Linked DNA regions of Caenorhabditis elegans. The protein of the gene in region 2 binds, or shares a complex with, the protein of the main gene of each other region. Each region holds a gene or a part of one and is shown on either strand. Other genes may lie near its edges. The genes, in order: mec-10, mec-6 and mec-2.

The links.
Region 1: mec-6 (region 2) and mec-10 share a complex: the UniProt entries of both Caenorhabditis elegans proteins name them as parts of the non-voltage-gated amiloride-sensitive cation channel complex.
Region 3: mec-6 (region 2) and mec-2 share a complex: the UniProt entries of both Caenorhabditis elegans proteins name them as parts of the non-voltage-gated amiloride-sensitive cation channel complex.

The regions. Positions count from the first base shown.
Region 1 is NC_003284.9:8,465,156-8,472,297, forward strand, and holds mec-10 (Degenerin mec-10), read right to left. Parts: upstream 5,160-7,142; 5' UTR 5,086-5,159; coding exon 4,817-5,085; intron 4,770-4,816; coding exon 4,677-4,769; intron 4,431-4,676; coding exon 4,309-4,430; intron 4,104-4,308; coding exon 4,021-4,103; intron 3,971-4,020; coding exon 3,674-3,970; intron 3,571-3,673; coding exon 3,501-3,570; intron 3,344-3,500; coding exon 3,267-3,343; intron 2,992-3,266; coding exon 2,899-2,991; intron 2,850-2,898; coding exon 2,767-2,849; intron 2,717-2,766; coding exon 2,642-2,716; intron 2,599-2,641; coding exon 2,498-2,598; intron 2,233-2,497; coding exon 2,072-2,232; intron 2,011-2,071; coding exon 1,915-2,010; intron 1,758-1,914; coding exon 1,582-1,757; intron 1,365-1,581; coding exon 1,236-1,364; intron 1,189-1,235; coding exon 1,113-1,188; intron 1,025-1,112; coding exon 851-1,024; 3' UTR 605-850; downstream 1-604. UniProt on the Caenorhabditis elegans protein: Subunit of an amiloride-sensitive cation channel (degenerin channel complex) permeable for sodium, potassium, lithium and N-methylglucamine, and required for mechanosensory transduction (touch sensitivity).
Region 2 is NC_003279.8:6,723,222-6,728,711, reverse strand, and holds mec-6 (Mechanosensory abnormality protein 6), read right to left. Parts: upstream 3,549-5,490; 5' UTR 3,546-3,548; coding exon 3,454-3,545; intron 3,403-3,453; coding exon 3,332-3,402; intron 3,207-3,331; coding exon 3,010-3,206; intron 2,691-3,009; coding exon 2,424-2,690; intron 2,370-2,423; coding exon 2,238-2,369; intron 1,840-2,237; coding exon 1,624-1,839; intron 830-1,623; coding exon 671-829; 3' UTR 623-670; downstream 1-622. Other genes in the region: lbp-6 (Fatty acid-binding protein homolog 6), read left to right, coding at 107-307. UniProt on the Caenorhabditis elegans protein: Subunit of an amiloride-sensitive cation channel (degenerin channel complex) permeable for sodium, potassium, lithium and N-methylglucamine, and required for mechanosensory transduction (touch sensitivity).
Region 3 is NC_003284.9:5,573,983-5,579,012, forward strand, and holds the start of mec-2 (Band 7 domain-containing protein), read left to right. Parts: upstream 1-1,986; coding exon 1,987-2,208; intron 2,209-2,264; coding exon 2,265-2,364; intron 2,365-3,963; exon of another isoform or gene 3,964-4,018; intron 4,019-5,030. UniProt on the Caenorhabditis elegans protein: Subunit of an amiloride-sensitive cation channel (degenerin channel complex) permeable for sodium, potassium, lithium and N-methylglucamine, and required for mechanosensory transduction (touch sensitivity).

The DNA.
Region 1 (7,142 bases), on a different chromosome or scaffold from region 2:
TCCGCGTTGGACAGAATCCGGTTGTAGCAATTCTTTTCCTACTTGCGTCACTGCCATCCCAAAAACGCAGCGTGTATTGGTGTTACGCGTACGCAAAAATTTCATTCATATGTTTCTTTTGATCGAAAGAAAAGTTGCTGTCAGACCCATTGCTAACACCTGTGTAATCAAAATTAATGTTTCCCGTAAAAAGAGAAAGTTCCGGTCCATAAATAAATCATAATACTCAAATAATCTTAATTGGTACTGAAAATACGAAATCATTTTTAATTTATGATTTCATAAAAAATGTATTAGCAAGAATAAAAATAATTCATTTTTTGAAAAAATGTTAATCTTTAATGGTGAATAAGTTACTCAGTTCTTTTTTTAATCTTGAAAACTAACCAAATGTTTTTTCAACCACTAAAAAAGAAAATATGACCACAAAACTAAAAAGAGTTTTGACTGAGAAAAATTATAAAGTAAAGAACTTATAAAACCGAATTCACAAATTTTTCTCTGCCACTTCTCTACTAAGCTCGATGCTTGTATGAAGTCTGAGTATACAGAAGAAATACCAACTTTTTTCAAACTTCATTTCAAGCACTCAATATATTTTTTTTTTATATTTTCCCACAATGAAATAAAAATAAGAATTACAAAAAAAAAATGCAAAAGTGTGTACCCAAAAAATGAAATAAGAAATTTATTTTCCGAATTATATAATGATAACAGAACTAGATTTAATTTTTCAGTTTTGGTTACAAAATTTTTTTAAACATTAAAAAGGTGCATCTGCTACATTCGTTTAATATCGGAAAATGAAAATAAAATAAAATGAGTTGCACCTCCTTTTTTCTCATGGCTCTCAATACTCATTTGCAGCATTTTCTCGTCGTCGAATTCTCTGCTGGTTTATGTGATGTGCAATTGCCATGTATATCAGCTCAAAGGCTAGACACACAAACTCACAACAAGTCATAACAGAAACTCCTGACCAAAGTCCAAGGTGTCCTCCAAAATCAGCCATCATTTTTACAATCTGAAAAAAACGTTTGGGATTGTAGTTCAATTAGCGTATAAGCTTTAAAGCTCTGTTTTTATTGCGCACACGTCAAAGTTTAACTTACACCATAAGCTTCAGACTCTGATAGAACTTCAAAGTTTAGTGCCTCGTAGAAAACCTCTAACATTGCCGCGTTTTCTCTAAAATATTCTTTTACACTAAATTTCTAAATGAGTTCGGGTCATACTTATATTCCTCATTGCATTCCTCCGCTTCTTTTTCGCACTGTCCCAGACTGATGTTTAATGCTTGGGATGGCCAAATGGCTTCAGAATAAGAAGTTGTGTAAATAGTTTGATTGCATGGCTGTTGGCACCTGAAACACTATACTTGGAAAATAGTCTGGACAGGGAAGCGAATAATGTGAAATTACTTGTTGCATAAAATTATATACTTCTGGATATTCTATATTCCTAATTAAAGTCCCAGGAAGATAATTTTTGAAACATTCCACAAACAATGAACACAAGGCACTCAGAAGTTCCGGTGCATCTATATATTTCTAAAACAAAACTAGAATAGTTTTCTCTCACCGACACTTGAATGATCCGTGAATTTCTCCAATTTGATGTGTGTGCTTTTCAAGGCACTCTCTGTGGTTTTTATTGAACACTTGACACGGTTGAACACCCCCGATCGACGGAAATCGTGGATCACTGCATCCGCATCTATCAATAATCAGTTCTTGAAAACAAGTACGATAGCAACCCTGGAATTAACAAATTTTAATGTTTTCCTAACGACCACAAACACAATCATCACTTTTCGTATAGTATGGTTGCGTGTACCATATACTTTTCTTTTATAATTTTTCATTTTATAATAACTCGTGTTTTGGTTTTCTGAATGATGAATTAAAAACGTACTTCTGTTGAGTATGCATAACCCTTGTAGATGTAGTTTGACGTGGCACCATCCTCTACACAATCCCCATACGGCGCAGGTAATCTACTCATCTTCTTCTGAAATGTTTGAAGTTTTATGAGAAACACATTGTAGTTTAGCAAGAAATTATGGGATTACCATGCGCATGCCGAACGACGAGATGTAACCGGTTGGTGCCGAGTAGCCGAAAGTGTCCGGGAATGGGAAATCGTCTTTGTCATGAATGGTCAATCGTATGCCGACGGCTTCGGAAGTTGGCAGATAGTCGCTCGCGTTTACAAATAGCATTACGCGCAAGCCTAGAAAATATGAGAATTGGGATTTACTAAAAAATGGAAACATCAAAACAACGTTCAATTTCTATAGTAAACGTCTAGAATGTTTCCTAAATGGCAGAAACAATCTTGAATATATCTGCTGAAACCGTATCAAATGTTCCTAACTTTTGTAAGAATTCGTCAATTTGGCACAATTTGGCAAATTTTCAGACACATTATTGGTTTTTTCTTCAATTGTTAAATTGTGAAAAAAACTAAAACTAAGTTACAATCCACCCAATCTTACCATATTGTGGTCCAGCTCTCACACTGGACTTGAAAATCTCTCTGTCGTGATTAAAAACAAAACAGTTTCCAAATGTAGGGTCTGCAACTAGCTCAAAATCTCTGGAAAAATCATTTTTTCAACACTACAATACTCTTGACTAACTGGTCGATATCACATGGTTTTCCATTGAATGAGCATTTATGGATCAAATTGTGTTTAGCTTGCGACATTAGTATTCTGGAATGAAAAACTACTAAAATGATTCACGTAGACTTAAGAAAGGTAACCTTTGCTCTTCCGAGAGAGCACTCATGGCGAAAATTATATTTTCCTTGGCTTTTGTTACAATGGCAACTTCATCTGTCATGTTCTGAAAGGAAAATGCAATTAAAATTAAAAAAAAACTAATCCAAAAGTACCCCAAATCCCAATGCTTCTCTTTCTTCTGTGGATATTTCAGAGAAATCTTCACTATCGCCAAAGTATTCCCATAAATTCAATACCATTGCAGCCTGGAAGTAATTTTCAGGACTTCAGTTAACAGCATGTTTATTTGAAAACTTAATCTGATACTTCTGTATTTTTTTTTGGAATTTTCCTTTTGCGAAAATGTACTGTCTAATGAGTGACTCTTTGAAAAACCTGCTGGAAATAATCACCGTTAAATTTTCTCAAATTTAATAGTTTCTGAAGTTTAAATGTTACCGAAGTTTTTACAATTTTATGAGCTTCTCGAGTAATATTTCAAATTTACGTATCCTCCAAACGCAAAGTCTAAAAAACTCACATGTTCGTGCTTAATACAGAAAAGTCCCTTGCTCTCACAAATACACGGCTCCTTCTTGAGTTCCGATCTTTTGGTTCCTACAAAATTGGTAACTTATGTAACTTGTACTTTGCACATTCTTTGTTTCTTTGTTCATATTTCTCATTTTTATATTCTCGTTGGGTGTGTTTTTTTGGTCCACACAGATCGGAAAACCAACACTTGCATCCTTTTCAAACGCCTCCCTCGCAATACCTTTCTTAGCTTTTTTGCTGCATAAATAATGCTCATCACACGTTTGACATGTAGTATTTGTCCACTGCTCCTGAAAAAAATCTGTTGACGTTTCTATTTTCTCTTTTTTTTGCAACAAGTTGCTTCATGCAAACTAATAGGCGGAATACACCAAAGCTTTGAGAGTGACCTACTTTTCTATGACACGGCCACGCATCGTTGGTCTGCCGATCGAAAGCACAAATGCACATATCATTATCGCCCGATGGCTTTTCAGTGGATCTTTCTTCACATTCATTGGAACCGTCTTCCTCGTCGCACTCACAAGCCGAGTTCGCTGGTTCAAATGTTCCCTTCTCGCCAGCTCCTCTCTTTTTTCTTTTTGCTTGGATAGTTATTCCATTCATATCATATTCGGTTTCCTCCTCTTCTTCCAATGCTTCCGAGCTGCTATCACCAGCTTTTTTCATAACACTTTTGAATACACCAAGCTAAAAAAATATGAATAGAGGGGAAAACTCTCGGGAAAACAGAAACTCACGATTTTACTAATACTGTCATGTGATCTGATGACACTATCTTTGTACGGGTTCAAATTGCAAAGAGTAATTGCAGGAAAGGGCGCTGAAAAAAACGGAAACTAAAAACTTACACCTGGAATATTTTGAAAATGGTATCGTATTGTATTGCAGTTAAAAACAGTGACATGATATTATTATAAGCACGGAAACAAAAAACTTAAAGTAAAAGTTATAAAGGTGAAAAATGCGTTACTACTATTTTCAAAACACTTTTTAAGATCGTATTGAAGAACTCAGAAACCACTCGCCTGTGTCAAACTTCAATTGTATATCCGTGATTTTATCCATCTTCTGATACTTCTGAATCACAGCGACCGCCTGATTGATAAATTGTATAGCACAGATTAGAAGCAAGAATACCCATGCAGCTCTGGAAAAAGGTTTTATGGGTTGGTTTACTGTCAAACACAAAAAAATATTGTTAGATAATTTTGTTTAAAGGAGAAGTAAGTGTTTTTGTTTATTATTTTTTATTTTTCTTCAATGATCTTTTGATTAAATAAACTAAACACTTTTATTATGACCGTTGAAAACTTTAAAAATAGCTAACAGCTGGTTTTTTTTTCATATCTCTGCTGTTTCTTAAGATGAAGCTCCCTCCCAATATGCCTATTACCTGTATAAACTGTTTGGAGCTTGCCCAAGCATTGGAATACCATGACTAGATGTTTTATAGCAAAACTGTTGTAAATGCCATCTTATTCTTTCTCTGAAAAATTAGTATGAAATCACAAATAATCGAAGAAAAAGACAAACCTGTAAGATAATCTTGTCGGGTCAATTTCAATACCACCGTTTTCTGTCAGAAGATCGCACTGAATTTCTTTTTCGTGTGCATTATTGCTTTCTCCGTAAGCATAAGATGTCATAATTTCCGCAACATTCAGAAAGTTAGTGTCACTTGCGAGATAATTTGAAAAATCGGTTTTGAAACTTCTGAGCGAACGCAAATCTGTTTCATCTTGAAATCGACTGCGACTACGAGGATTTGGTTGAAATTTTGACATTCGCGGGTTTCGATTCATTTTTTGAATTTTGTACAAATAACAGAATCAACGGACGTTTTCTAAGAACCGAGTGAAGCGCTTGGACCAATTCGACAAAACGAATGCATTTGTAAGTGGGACTCATTTTCCCATAATCGGATGTTTTGTGCACGTTTCTCAGCTATGCATGACTTCCCCATCCCAAAAAATTCCTTCATTCTATCGTTGTGATAGTTCATAGATGAACTTTAATGTTCTCATCGAATCGTGTGTTTCATCGAAAAGTAAGACGAGATGGTGCGTCAAAAGTCACGCAAAACGGAAATTTACCTGATAACAGCACCACGTACCGACCGATTATACTGTTACAGAATAGCTGTTTGCACATTTCGCAAGACGAGAGATGACAAAATATCGATAGAAGTGTAGCTAGTGAGCACAAAGATAATACGTGATTATCATGTGGACTTGATGTATGGAAATTTCTTTAAATTATGTTTACTTTCTTAAGAGGACTTTTAATCATTGACAATTTTCTCGCAATGGTCGAATAGAACAAAAAAAACCAACACAATGCCTGAAGAGAAATAATTGCATCATCATATTTTAACTTTTCAGTGTTTTATTAATTTGAGCCCATAAAAATTGATTGGTTGCTGAAATATAATTGGTATGGGATTGCTCAGTCGGCACTGGTGGCCGTGAGCAACTGAATATGGGTTCCCAGTTCAAGTGCTGCATTCCGACAAGTTCACCTAGACCGAACTGGGAAGCGAAGCAATCCAAAACTGGATTTCAGTCTCAAGTTTGGACGTGGCTTAATTTAAAACACCGTGGGAGCGCCCCAACAATATTACCAGATTTCCACTTTTGCAGGGTATAGCTTGAGCGAGGATTGTCTTTTAATCCTTTTTATGAAAATTGTTCTATTAACTTTGAATACAAAACATATGTTTTATTAGCTCCTAGTGGAGCGAGACAAATACATAGAAGTGACAAAACAATAGATGCTGCGAGACTAAATTTTGAATGCGCATTGTTTTGATCTTTGACGAAACCATGATTTGTTACTTACTTGCTTAGTTACTTAGACGATCCGTTCTTCAGGAATTCGTGGTATTCCTGCGGATCACAGCAAGCCATTCTTTTCGGTCCTTGGCTATAGTGGACCATGGGGTGATGACTTCTCCGTCTGCGTCCCGAGTCGTGATCTCCTTTCGCAGCGAATCAGTTCATCGCATCGGCGGTCTTCCAACAGGCCTTTTCCAGTTCCAGGGGCGCCATTCTGTCATCAGCGTGGTCCATCTTCCGTCTTTCTTTCTCGCAACGTGTCCAGCCCATCCTAGCTTCCTCTTTTTCACGAAATTGAGCGGATCTCTTACTTGAGACATTTCACGAATATCTTCTCGATGAAGATCTCATTCTCGTTGTTGAATGAGTGTGATTCCCACAAGCCGTCTTTCTAGGGAGGCATGTGTGATTCTTACTCGTTCGGATAGAGCTTTGGTGAATGTCCAGGCTTCTGAACCATAGGTGAGAGCGGGAAGGACGATTGAATTATTGCTTTTAAAAGAGAAGTAGCGATTCTGGGTTTTTGTTCTAATTAACATGATTGAACCAAATTTCACCAAATTTCAGAACCAGACTGCTTCAGAAAATTTTCAACAAAACTTTTACGGTGGTTCGACATGTCATGACTAATAGTAAGAGCTGTAAAACTTTCAGTTGTTTTTCTTTTTTTTAAGAAGTTTGATAGAAAAATAGCCGGATCTTAACTAATTTGCTTGAAAACATTTCGAAAAAATTTGAAAAGCTATTTATGGTTTAGTACTTCAAATATACAACACAATGAAGTCAACTATTTATATACTATTGATTTAATGTTAAGTGACTTTGATTCCTGTTTTAGCTCAAAATACGTGCGATGTGTTGTGAGATATTGCAATTACTGCTCACTCATTCCCTTACATATTATCCAAATGAAAGAAAAAGTTGAGCAATGGCAAACTACATATTTTCTTTGAAAAATAAAACAAATTGTACTAAACTAGCTAATTTTGCAAATAACTCAAAGATTGAAAGATCAACATATTACA
Region 2 (5,490 bases):
GAGCAAGTTATCCCCAAATTCCAAGTAATTGTATCCAATAAAAATTGTTTCAACCCTGAAATTGAACTAGCATTCTTCAGACTTATATTTAATGTTTTTATCCCAGGAATTCGATGAGACCACTCCAGATGGCCGTACCGTCAAGTCAGTTGTCAACTTCGAGAACGGAAAATTCATTCACATTCAAAAGAAGATCAAGGACTCTGATAAGGAATCAATTATCACCCGTTGGCTCGAAGGAGACAAGCTTATCACTACTCTTGAATCTGGATCCGTTGTTTCTCGCCGCGAGTACGTTCGCGAATAGATTCTCAATTCCCAACATGAGCTTTGTTCTTGTCTTCCTGTGATATTTAATAGTAAATATTGAAATTTAAAGTATTACAATTATTTCTTTATGGCAATAAATGAGAAATATATTATCAGACTTCGAATCAAGACACTAAGAATGACTAATTGTGACGAGAAATTAGTTAATTTGAAAGCTGCTAAATTCTCATAAATCGACTTTCCTCTAAAACGCTGGAAGGCTATTGAAAAGGGGTGGAGGCGTGGCGCCCCCGTTACGCCTCGACAAGTTTATAAATAAATCTAGATACAATGTCTACAACACATCTGTTTCTAGATCATATTCATCGGTTTATTTTTTAAATAAGCTCTAAAAGTTTGACTATGTAATATATGAATGCGTAAGATCACAATGAAGAAGTCTTCCAAATGAACTTCCAATTAACATTTGTTCATCAGTGAATACAACTGATGAACTCGCCGAAATAGTTGCTCCATCGTTTGCATACGGTTCAGTTGTTACCCAAGAGTTGCCTTCTTCCTGAAACAAATGCGATTTTTGATTTTTTGACGCTTTTTCGCATTGATTAGTATTTGAATGAATTGATAAAAAACGTGGAAACAGAGTCTGATAAGTTCGAGTCTTGACAACATGTTTATGGGAACAAAGTGCTTGGTTAGCGTAATTTGATACTTTACAAATGATAAAGAAGCTATTATATTGAAGTTTCAAATTTATTTTACAAAAAAATTTGAACGGGGTAGAATACCTAGATTATTTTAATAAATAGAAGAAAACTGGGAAAGCTCGATGCACTAAAAATGCTTCGAAAAAAAAGAAAAAGTTTCAAAATTCTTCAAAATTTTTCGAAATCTCGTGAAACGGAACTAAATTTTTCCAATATTCACAACACTTGTCTCAATCATTTTTAGTCTGAAGTACCTTGTCTGTGGTCGAACATATCATGTGTTTCAGTCATAAGAACACTTGAATCGAATAAATTTATATATTTAAACCTCTCCGGAGATTACTTGTTTTTCATTAAATTCATTATGGTATTGACTAATTTCAAGGTTTTTATTCTAGTTTTATTTTTATTTATTATAATGTCATTTGTGGAGCCTTATATAATATTTCCATATATCTACGCAGGAACTGCTCCCTTCAAATTGGAACAGGAATCTTTCCACTATATAGTTGCTGGTTAAAATTTATTTTTATTTGAAAATGAAATAAATCGTTTTTTAAAGATTGAATTAGAAACACTGTATTCAGATCTGAGTTTTAAATTTCTGCCTAATAAACTTTGAAATAAAAACAAAAATAATACAAACCTGTATCCTTATTCTCAAAATTTGGCTTGGAGAATGTATATTTTGATTTTCTGGATGAGTATAATGCCATGCAGATTCATGAATAACTGGATGAGCAGCAATCCAAATATCTCCAGTTTTTGATTCAACGAAAACTCCAATTGGTGATGTCAATAACATCATTTCATACAATAATTCAAGTGTTGTATCCTTCGCTACTTTGTAAGCGAATATTGACTGAAAATTCTTCATTCAAAAGTTGTTTGTGCTTCAGGACAGTTTTTTTAAACAAATTATATTTTTGAAACGTAACAGAAATAATATAAAATCAAAGCTGTCGGTTGCAACAACTTTTTCAGTAGACCTCAGAATTGTATCTTCTTGGCAGATGCTGCGAAACTATTTAGCTTTTTTTAATGACTTCCGTGTTTCTAACATAGGTGATCCCAGGGAAAAGTTAGAAAATGCCAATGCGTATCATCGAAACAAACAAAGTGTTTAAAATTTTGTGAAGGCAGCTTTTCGAATAACTTGAAACAATTTCAGCATAAAAAAAACCGCCGAAGTGTCTCGAAGTTTTATTCAAAAGCCCAAATTGTTTTGTATATTTGGAAATTTACCAAAACGTTCCAAACCTCTCTGATCATAGATCCAACATAAAGAATTCTTCGTTTTGCGTCATATCCAATTCCCGTAGGTGCAATCAGGCTGGAAGCAGCAGTTGATAGTTTGCTACCATCATAGTAGTATACAGCTCCTTGTCCAGTCTGTAATAAACCGATTGTCATTTGATATGATTCCATAATTGGAGGTCAACTCACCTGTAATGAAAATTCCAAAATTTGAGCCCATCCTCTCCCAAATGCAGCCATATTTGTGACAAACAGTCGATCTGGTCCTACTACAGCAATATCCTGGAGACTTGAAAATGAAGGATCACATATTGCTTTTCGATGATTAAGTTTTGAACTTTCAACAATTTGGAAGAAATGAATACATTGATGATTTGGATGAGCATTTATTACATAGAGAAGTACACGACCATTTGATGAAGAATATGAATCAATTCCTGTTGGAATGAACTCTTTCTGAAAATAAAGGTTCTAGGTTTCAGGTTTTATTATAATTCTCGAAAGTATATAACTTTCCCGATTGGGGCTTCTTACTCGGATCTCGGGAAAACTTTTTGCCAACAACCTGGCTTCCTGGCTGTTAAAACTGCTCAGATAAGCTACCAATCTGCTGATCTGATTAAGTCTCTCATTTTCAAAATGTTGTCTGAAACTTGCAAAAGTTTGGCAGAAAGTTTCTCTCAATCACCGAGTAGTTCATTCATTATATTGCCCCCACTGCTGAAGCAAATCAATATTTCAATTCTTTTCAGGCTATTCAAACTAAATTACACACCTTATATTCATAACCATTCCAATTGATTGTCATTTCAATCAAATCATACATTTCCTGCTGACTCCTTCCATCTGTTCGATTTGTTTTATAAAATGCGATGCCAGTTTTTGTTTTCAAATCGTGTGCTCTACCGTACCCCAATGTTATGTACACCCGTTTTTGAGATTCGACGTATGTCATGCCGGCGGTTCCTTTATCTGGAATATAGATGGATGACTCTTTTTATAATTTTTTACTTTTGATATCCGCATAATGTGTTTCTAATTGTAATAAAACCTTTTTTCAGTTACAAAATTTAAAATTCAAAAAAATTTAAACTTACAGTTATCTGTTAGAACTCTGCAGGGACCAGGTGTGTGATTATAAACACGTTTGTTGAGATCAAGTACTACTCTGAAAACCAAAAAGTTAATATAATCACTAAAATTGTGCCCTTGAACTTACAAAAGTCTCAACAAAAAGCATGCAACCATAAATATAGTAATCCAAATAATAAAACGATTTATGAAATGAGCAGCTGCCGATTGGAGACCCATTTTCTGTAAAATAGAAAACCTGATTTAAATAAAGAACACTTAACATTTTTCATTTTTTAAAAGGATCACTACTGGATGGAAGGTTACTTTCTAAAGTCGAGATAAAATGAAATGCTAATCAAGTTCAGTGAGCTTTTATCAATTTTTATATCGGAAAAGTCAAAACAACGGACCACTTTTAAAGTTTAAAATGGATATTCCGCTCTCAAGTAAAACATACAGCATATACTAAAACAAAGGATTTGACTGTGTGGACCTCCTTGGAAACGGCTGGTCCCAGTGGCCATCTGCTGAAGGAGAGATAGTATTGAAAACTAGGAGGCAACCAGAGATAGAGGGAAGAATTCAGCTGAACGAGCTTTCTTCTGCTCTTGGTGAGCACTTCCTCCGTTCTTCTCATTTTCTTTTGGCAAGTCTGTTGTGAATTTTAAATGGGTGTAGCGTTAACTCAGAAAATGATGGACAAATGCATAATTAGTTTGTGATAATTGATTCTGCAATTTTTAATTTCCGTTTTTAAAAGTTCATAAACATTTTTTTTTGTTGCTTGTTGGTGTGTGTACACAGAATAATTTATTTGAATTCCCACCATTCCGTTGCGACATATTATCATCGGAGCGCAACTGCATTTACCAAAAAAACTGTTGAGGGGGTACGTTTTCGTAAGGGGATTTTTTCGTAAGGAACGCTTTCAGTAGGGCAATGTGCGGCGCGCCTTTTCGCAAGCCCGCCGCACAGTCCTTCGCAATGCGCCGCACGGCTTTTTGCAATGCGCCGCACGCTTCTTCGTATTTATTTATTTATTTTTCCAACAGGAAATTTCGAACGGAATTCAATTAAAAACGGATTTTTAATGGAAATTAATTAGTTTTATTCGAGCTAAATACGGATATTTTTTTCAGAATTTTCGATGACAAAAACGGGTTTCAATCGATTTCGAATCGATCAAAATTAATATTAATCGAAAATGAGCGTTTCCTTCCCGGAAAAAGAAGAACTTGATGCTGAGAGTGATCCAGGCGGAGCCAAACGATTAAAATGATAGAAGTGATTTTTTATTCAGTCGAAATGGAAAATAAAACTGCAAACAAAAGTTAATTCGATTAAATTAAGTAAGAAAAATCATGGCGAAATTTGGATAACCTGAGTATGGAAAATTGTTTCTATAATCTAATGGCACAGAGGTAAACAAAGAGATCAGTGATAGCATTTCGGAATTTCCATAAAAGGGAAAAGTTTCTCATTAAAAGCACTGAAACCGGTATAATTCAAAAACACTGAAGTACAGAAATCGGGGTTTTTGTATAATGGCACAGCGGTTGTTCGATTTCCGGATCGTCTCTTCAAGTCTAGGATCAATGATTTTGATAGTTGAATGGTCTTTTGAATCACTCCTCGCAGGTTTTGATAGTCGTTGTGATGATACATTCTCTGGAAAACAAAACAAATCGATGTTATATACCTATTTGAGAACTTAAAAAACTACAAAAAGAAACTTGCCTTCAGCTTGGAAAATTGCTGCTCACTCGGGTTGTTTGTGAACGCTGAAAAATACTTTTCACTCTTCAATTAATCTTTAGACATCAATACTTGCCTCTAAAAAAGCGTTTGGCTCCGCTTGGATCACTCTCAGCATCAAGTTCTTCTTTTTCCGGGAAGGAAACGCTCATTTTCGATTAATATTAATTTTGATCGATTCGAAATCGATTGAAACCCGTTTTTGTCATCGAAAATTCTGAAAATATCCGTATTTAGCTCGAATAAAACTAATTAATTTCCATTAAAAATCCGTTTTTAATTGAATTCCGTTCGAAATTTCCTGTTGGAAAAATAAATAAATAAATACGAAGAAGCGTGCGGCGCATTGCAAAAAGCCGTGCGGCGCATTGCGAAGGACTGTGCGGCGGGCTTGCGAAAAGGCGCGCCGCACATTGCCCTACTGAAA
Region 3 (5,030 bases), on a different chromosome or scaffold from region 2:
ATTGCGTGATGGCCATAGAAGTCGCTTTCGAGGCAAAGTCGGAAATCTGTGTGTTGAGAAGAAAAGGAAGAATGAGTTAATGAGGGCTAGGAAAAGTGAGACGAGAGCTCGAAATTCCTGAGAGCACCTAAAAGCGTCCACCCAAAGAGTGTTAACGTTATGTTTCCCATTTTGCAAAATTGTCAGATACTTCAAGTACTTTCAACTTTTTCAATAAGCCCCCGCAACGACAAGGTTGATTCAATTGGTGTGCATCCTTTTTTCATAACACATACACACATGAAATACATCTTCCATACGTTATGTGTATTTGCAAAAAAAACGCTTCACACCGGAATGACACGTTTCCGCACTCTCAGTTAGCAACAACTGGAGTGTGTTCAAAACAAAAAAAAACGAGAATTCGCAACCAATCTGAAGATGAAAACGGCTAGTTCAAATGGCTTTGTGCATTCGTCATAGTTGTTTCTCAAAACACTCCCAATGGTTTTATGATACTTAAAAATATAATGAAAAAATCTCAAGTTTCACATAATCCATCTTTGTGTCTTTTTTCGAAAGTTATTCTTGACGATGGCGTGGGAAACATATAAACAATACAACAAGAAGTCAGAAGGAGGAGGATATAGTCAGGAGGAGGAGGAGTGAAAAAGAGCATTTAATGAAAATGCAGTGAATCGTAAAGGACTAGATGTTGTAAATTGTGTGTCTAGTTTAATTTTTTACACGAGGAATTCATGAATAAGAAATATAATACAAAGTAAGAAATATGGAAAATTCGAACTAACAAAAAAGGGTATACTGACAATTTTGATAACAGTTGTCAAAAAAGGACCATATGCAAAAAAATACGTTTCGTAAATAGTTGTTTGTTTTGAAAATAGGGGTTATTAAAATGTTATGGCTAAATATCATAGTAAAACAAACTTATACTCTAAAATTAAAACAAAACATTTCTTCGATACATTTTATTTCTATCTTTATTTTGAATTGAGTTTTGGAAATTGTGGAAATTAAGCTGTATGTTTATTTTTGGGTTTTTTAAACTTTAAAATTTATTTTCCATTTTCCGCCTTCAATCCAATCATACATTTATATTTTAGAACACATTTTTAAAAGTAGGTCGTATCATCCAAAAATGTATCAAATTTTTTAAAACCATTTTTTGTTGCAAATTTAAAAATCATAAAGAATTTGGATAATTGCATAATCATTTTTTAAAGAGTTTTTTACAGCACTCTGTCCCTTTGACCCATTTTCTTTAATTTCATACAACCTAAAATTATCATAGTTTTCCCCAAGAGGTAACATTGAAAGTTAGGAATTTTCATAAACAAATTGCGTTAACGTGAGGAATCTGATAAGAAACGTGGACTACTTTTAATTACAAATTTAGAGAGTGTTGAGAGTTTCAGAAGAGTTACAGAAGAGTTATTTCAGCCACCATTATGTATCTCATGATTAAATGTATTTCTAATAATAGTTATTTAAAACTATATCATTTGAAATTAATTTACGGCTTCGAAGCGTTTCGATTTTCAAGAAAATTTTCAGCTTCCCAGGTTTCCCGTTCACTGTTTCCATTCGCCTTTTCCCGCCTGACCTTTTTCCCAAGAAACTACTATTCTAAAGTCCGACCTAACATATGCATATAAGTCCTACTATTCAAGTTTCTGGCAACTTCAAGATCCCAAAACGAAAATGTTCTCGAAACTCTTGCATTACAATGGACAAGTCACGCCAGAGACAATAGGCTAGTAGCAAGTTCTTCGCTGCACTGTTACCCCTAACTGTTTTCTTTGCATTTGTAATCAGGGACGTCATATACCAATTGGAGCAGAGTCGTCTTCTTTTTGGGGTGTGAGCCCGGCTTGCTCAACGAAATCCATACATTCGAGAGTACATCCCACTATTCGCCGAGTGTTTATGTGTCATTCGTGAATCGTGTCCCAGTAGTCTGTGACTGAATGCCCACACATTCAATCTATGAGCGCCACAATGTCATCAGCTCGCAATTCGGTCGTTTCACTATCTTCAAACGGCTCTGTCAAGGTCGAGACTCGATTGGTTAGCAACGAACGGAGCTCTAGTATTCAACAGGAGGGCGCCATGCTCCCATCATCCAGCTCCAAAGACGATGATCTCTTATCAACGTCATCGGACGAAGTTGAGAATATGGCGACCAGGACTTTACAGCAACTTGAAGAGGTGTGTGTCTATTAAATTTTTTGGTTTCCGGATTATCGTATTTGTTTCCGCTGTAGAGTACATCAATCATCTCGGCCAACAGCGACGATGACTCGGTGAAAAAAGAAAAGCAAGCTGAAAAGGATGTGGAGAAAGGAAATGGAAAAGAGGAAAAAGGTAGAAACTACAATCTTTGTCACTTATTTGATTGAATTAGTCATACATATGTAGAAACTCGTGCTTTCATTTGTTAAGTGACAACTTTAAGGTTCAAAATGCTGCTTTACTCTAAAAAAATGTTCGAAATTGTTTAAAATTGTGACACGCTGTTGTTAAAGCTTTAACAACTTATTCAATTATTTAAATTTCTGAAAACTGATGTAAAATACAGTATTTTATTGGGTCATATCTTAGTTGTCCTTTGTTATATCTTTGAAAAAAAGTCAAATGACGAATGCTGTGTTGTTTCTATTTTCATTGTTCTGTAGTTAATCATTTAGTGGTATTCTCACAATGAACCTAAATTTAATTTTTCAAAATAAAACAGTGAAGTGCAATACAAATAGAGGAAATGCGGTTAGCCGACAAGTAATGCTTAAATGTAATTCGAGTTAACCTTGGTACCGATTTGTCTCACAAGTTTCTGGTTATATATACTTCGGTAATATTCTTTATCATTTAAACGTTTGAATGCGCCAGTGGAATTGTGAAATACTACTGGTAAATAAAAACCAACCAAATATAATAATAAAACGTTTCAGTTTTTGAAAATGTTTTATAGACAGTCAAAAAGTGGCGATTTCTGAGTTCATGCTACATTTTGAAAATGCTAAAAATCCCTTGTTTGGCGAGACCCAAGCGCCTACATAGAATACGGCAAAGTTTCTCACCTTTCGACTTCTACATAATATGAAAATTCATTATTTTTAACAGTCAAGTTCAACACAGGCTGGCTCATAATTTTCAATGATCCTGTTTTTTTCTGATCTCTATTTCTTGTCGTATACATGTCGTCGTGCTTCGCCAATTCTCATGATGAAATTCAATAACAAATTCTGATTACTAGTTGTAACACCTCCAATTCTGGTTTTCCTTTGTTTTTTTTCTTGTAGCAAGTTGAGTTGTTTGATATAACTGAGTTCTTAAATCTTATAAACGAAAATTAAGAAATCAGTACTAATAACTAGAAACTATATATTGAAGAAATTGGAGATGTTGTAACATTACGCGTTTGTCGTTCCTACAAAACAAAAAAAATAGCAACAGACTTTCTTAAGCTTAAGGCTTAAGGTGAATTAACAATTAACTACGTTGAACTCAACGATTCTCGAATCTGGTTGAAAACAGCAAATTTACCGACTCATTAATAGTAATTGAATATCAGTACGATTGTTTACTACTTATAAAAAATGGCAGCACCGGTTAGACGTTCCTTTTAAGTGTCATTCTTTCAAATTATCGTGAACTTCCCTTTTATTATCCTGCTCGCACCGGTGTTTTCCACATATTTTCGCAGTTTTCAGTTTTTAGTATTTCCCAGCGTTCCAGCTCACCACGAGGTACCCGACTGACGACAAAAATAATAGACATATTTAGCAGATAAGCAGTCGCTAAGTAAATGAGAATTCTACTTGTTTGTTTCGTCTTCTGTCTGTTCCCGAACCCCTCCCTGTCAGGAGTTTATGTCTGAAAGTAGTTTACGCACCTCATTTTTCTTTCTCGCTTTCATAAGCCAGATGTATATTGCCTCTGGAAAATAGCCTCTCTTTCGGGCCTCGGTTATTTGTATGTTTTTCAACTTAGTCGGTTTTTGTCGCGGGACTCTTTTTTTCCTGTTCCCTTTTTCTGAAAGTTTGGGTGTTGTTTGAAGAAAAAATATAAATAAAAAACAAACGGTGTTCTTGACATATCATTTTGAATATTATGCACGTTCTCGGTCTGCCTTTATTTTTAAAATATTTTTGGCGGCTGTTTTGTAACAAAATTCAGTTTTTATTTTCTTTAGCACAAAATTAAAAAATAACCCGTTCAAAAAGATTGACTTTAAGAATTCTGAGAAAAGACAAATTATTTTTAAGTTTTTTATTGTTCCTGTCGTCGAAGTAAGGCATAACAAAAATCTCATTTTAGAAACGATGTTTTTCACATTTTTTGTTTTGTTAAAGTTTTCTACAAGAAAAGTAATTTGGAAGAGTGAAAGAGTTTATCACAGTAGAGAACACTGCAACCAAAAAAAGCAACAAAAACATAGTCAGAAGAAGTTAGTCACACTATGAGCTTCGTCTTCTTAAACAAAAATTTTCGGTTCGAAGAATTTAAGCATTCCCTCTTAAATTTTTACGCTTTCTCTAGTTGTTCAATGTTTACTCTGAGTGCAATCATCGAGAAAACGTAATTTTCTCTCTTTTTTGGCCTTTATGTCTGAAAAATCTTTAATTAAACATAAAAGTGCTTTCGTCCTATTCTTTCTTGATTCCACACAATGGAATTAGGCATGAAGCAGATATGCAACATTGGTGTGGTTTTAAAGTCTACCTGCTCTTTTTTCGTTTTCTCAACACAACCAATTTAGGCCATTCGTTATAAATGCAAATCTCTAAATTTCGAAATTTCAGTAAAAAAGCAATGCTTTCTCAGAAAACGTTTGTTTCTCAAAATGGAAAATGGCTTCACAGTTAACCCCATAAGTTGCCAATAGTTTTCCTCATATATTTTCCTAAACTTTTTTTTTCAGTAGTTCCTCAAAATAAGCATACATCAAATTATCAAAACACGATTAAAACATTTTATGTAGAAAAAATTTTTCTGGTCAACTTCCAAACATTATGGTGATTTTTCACCAT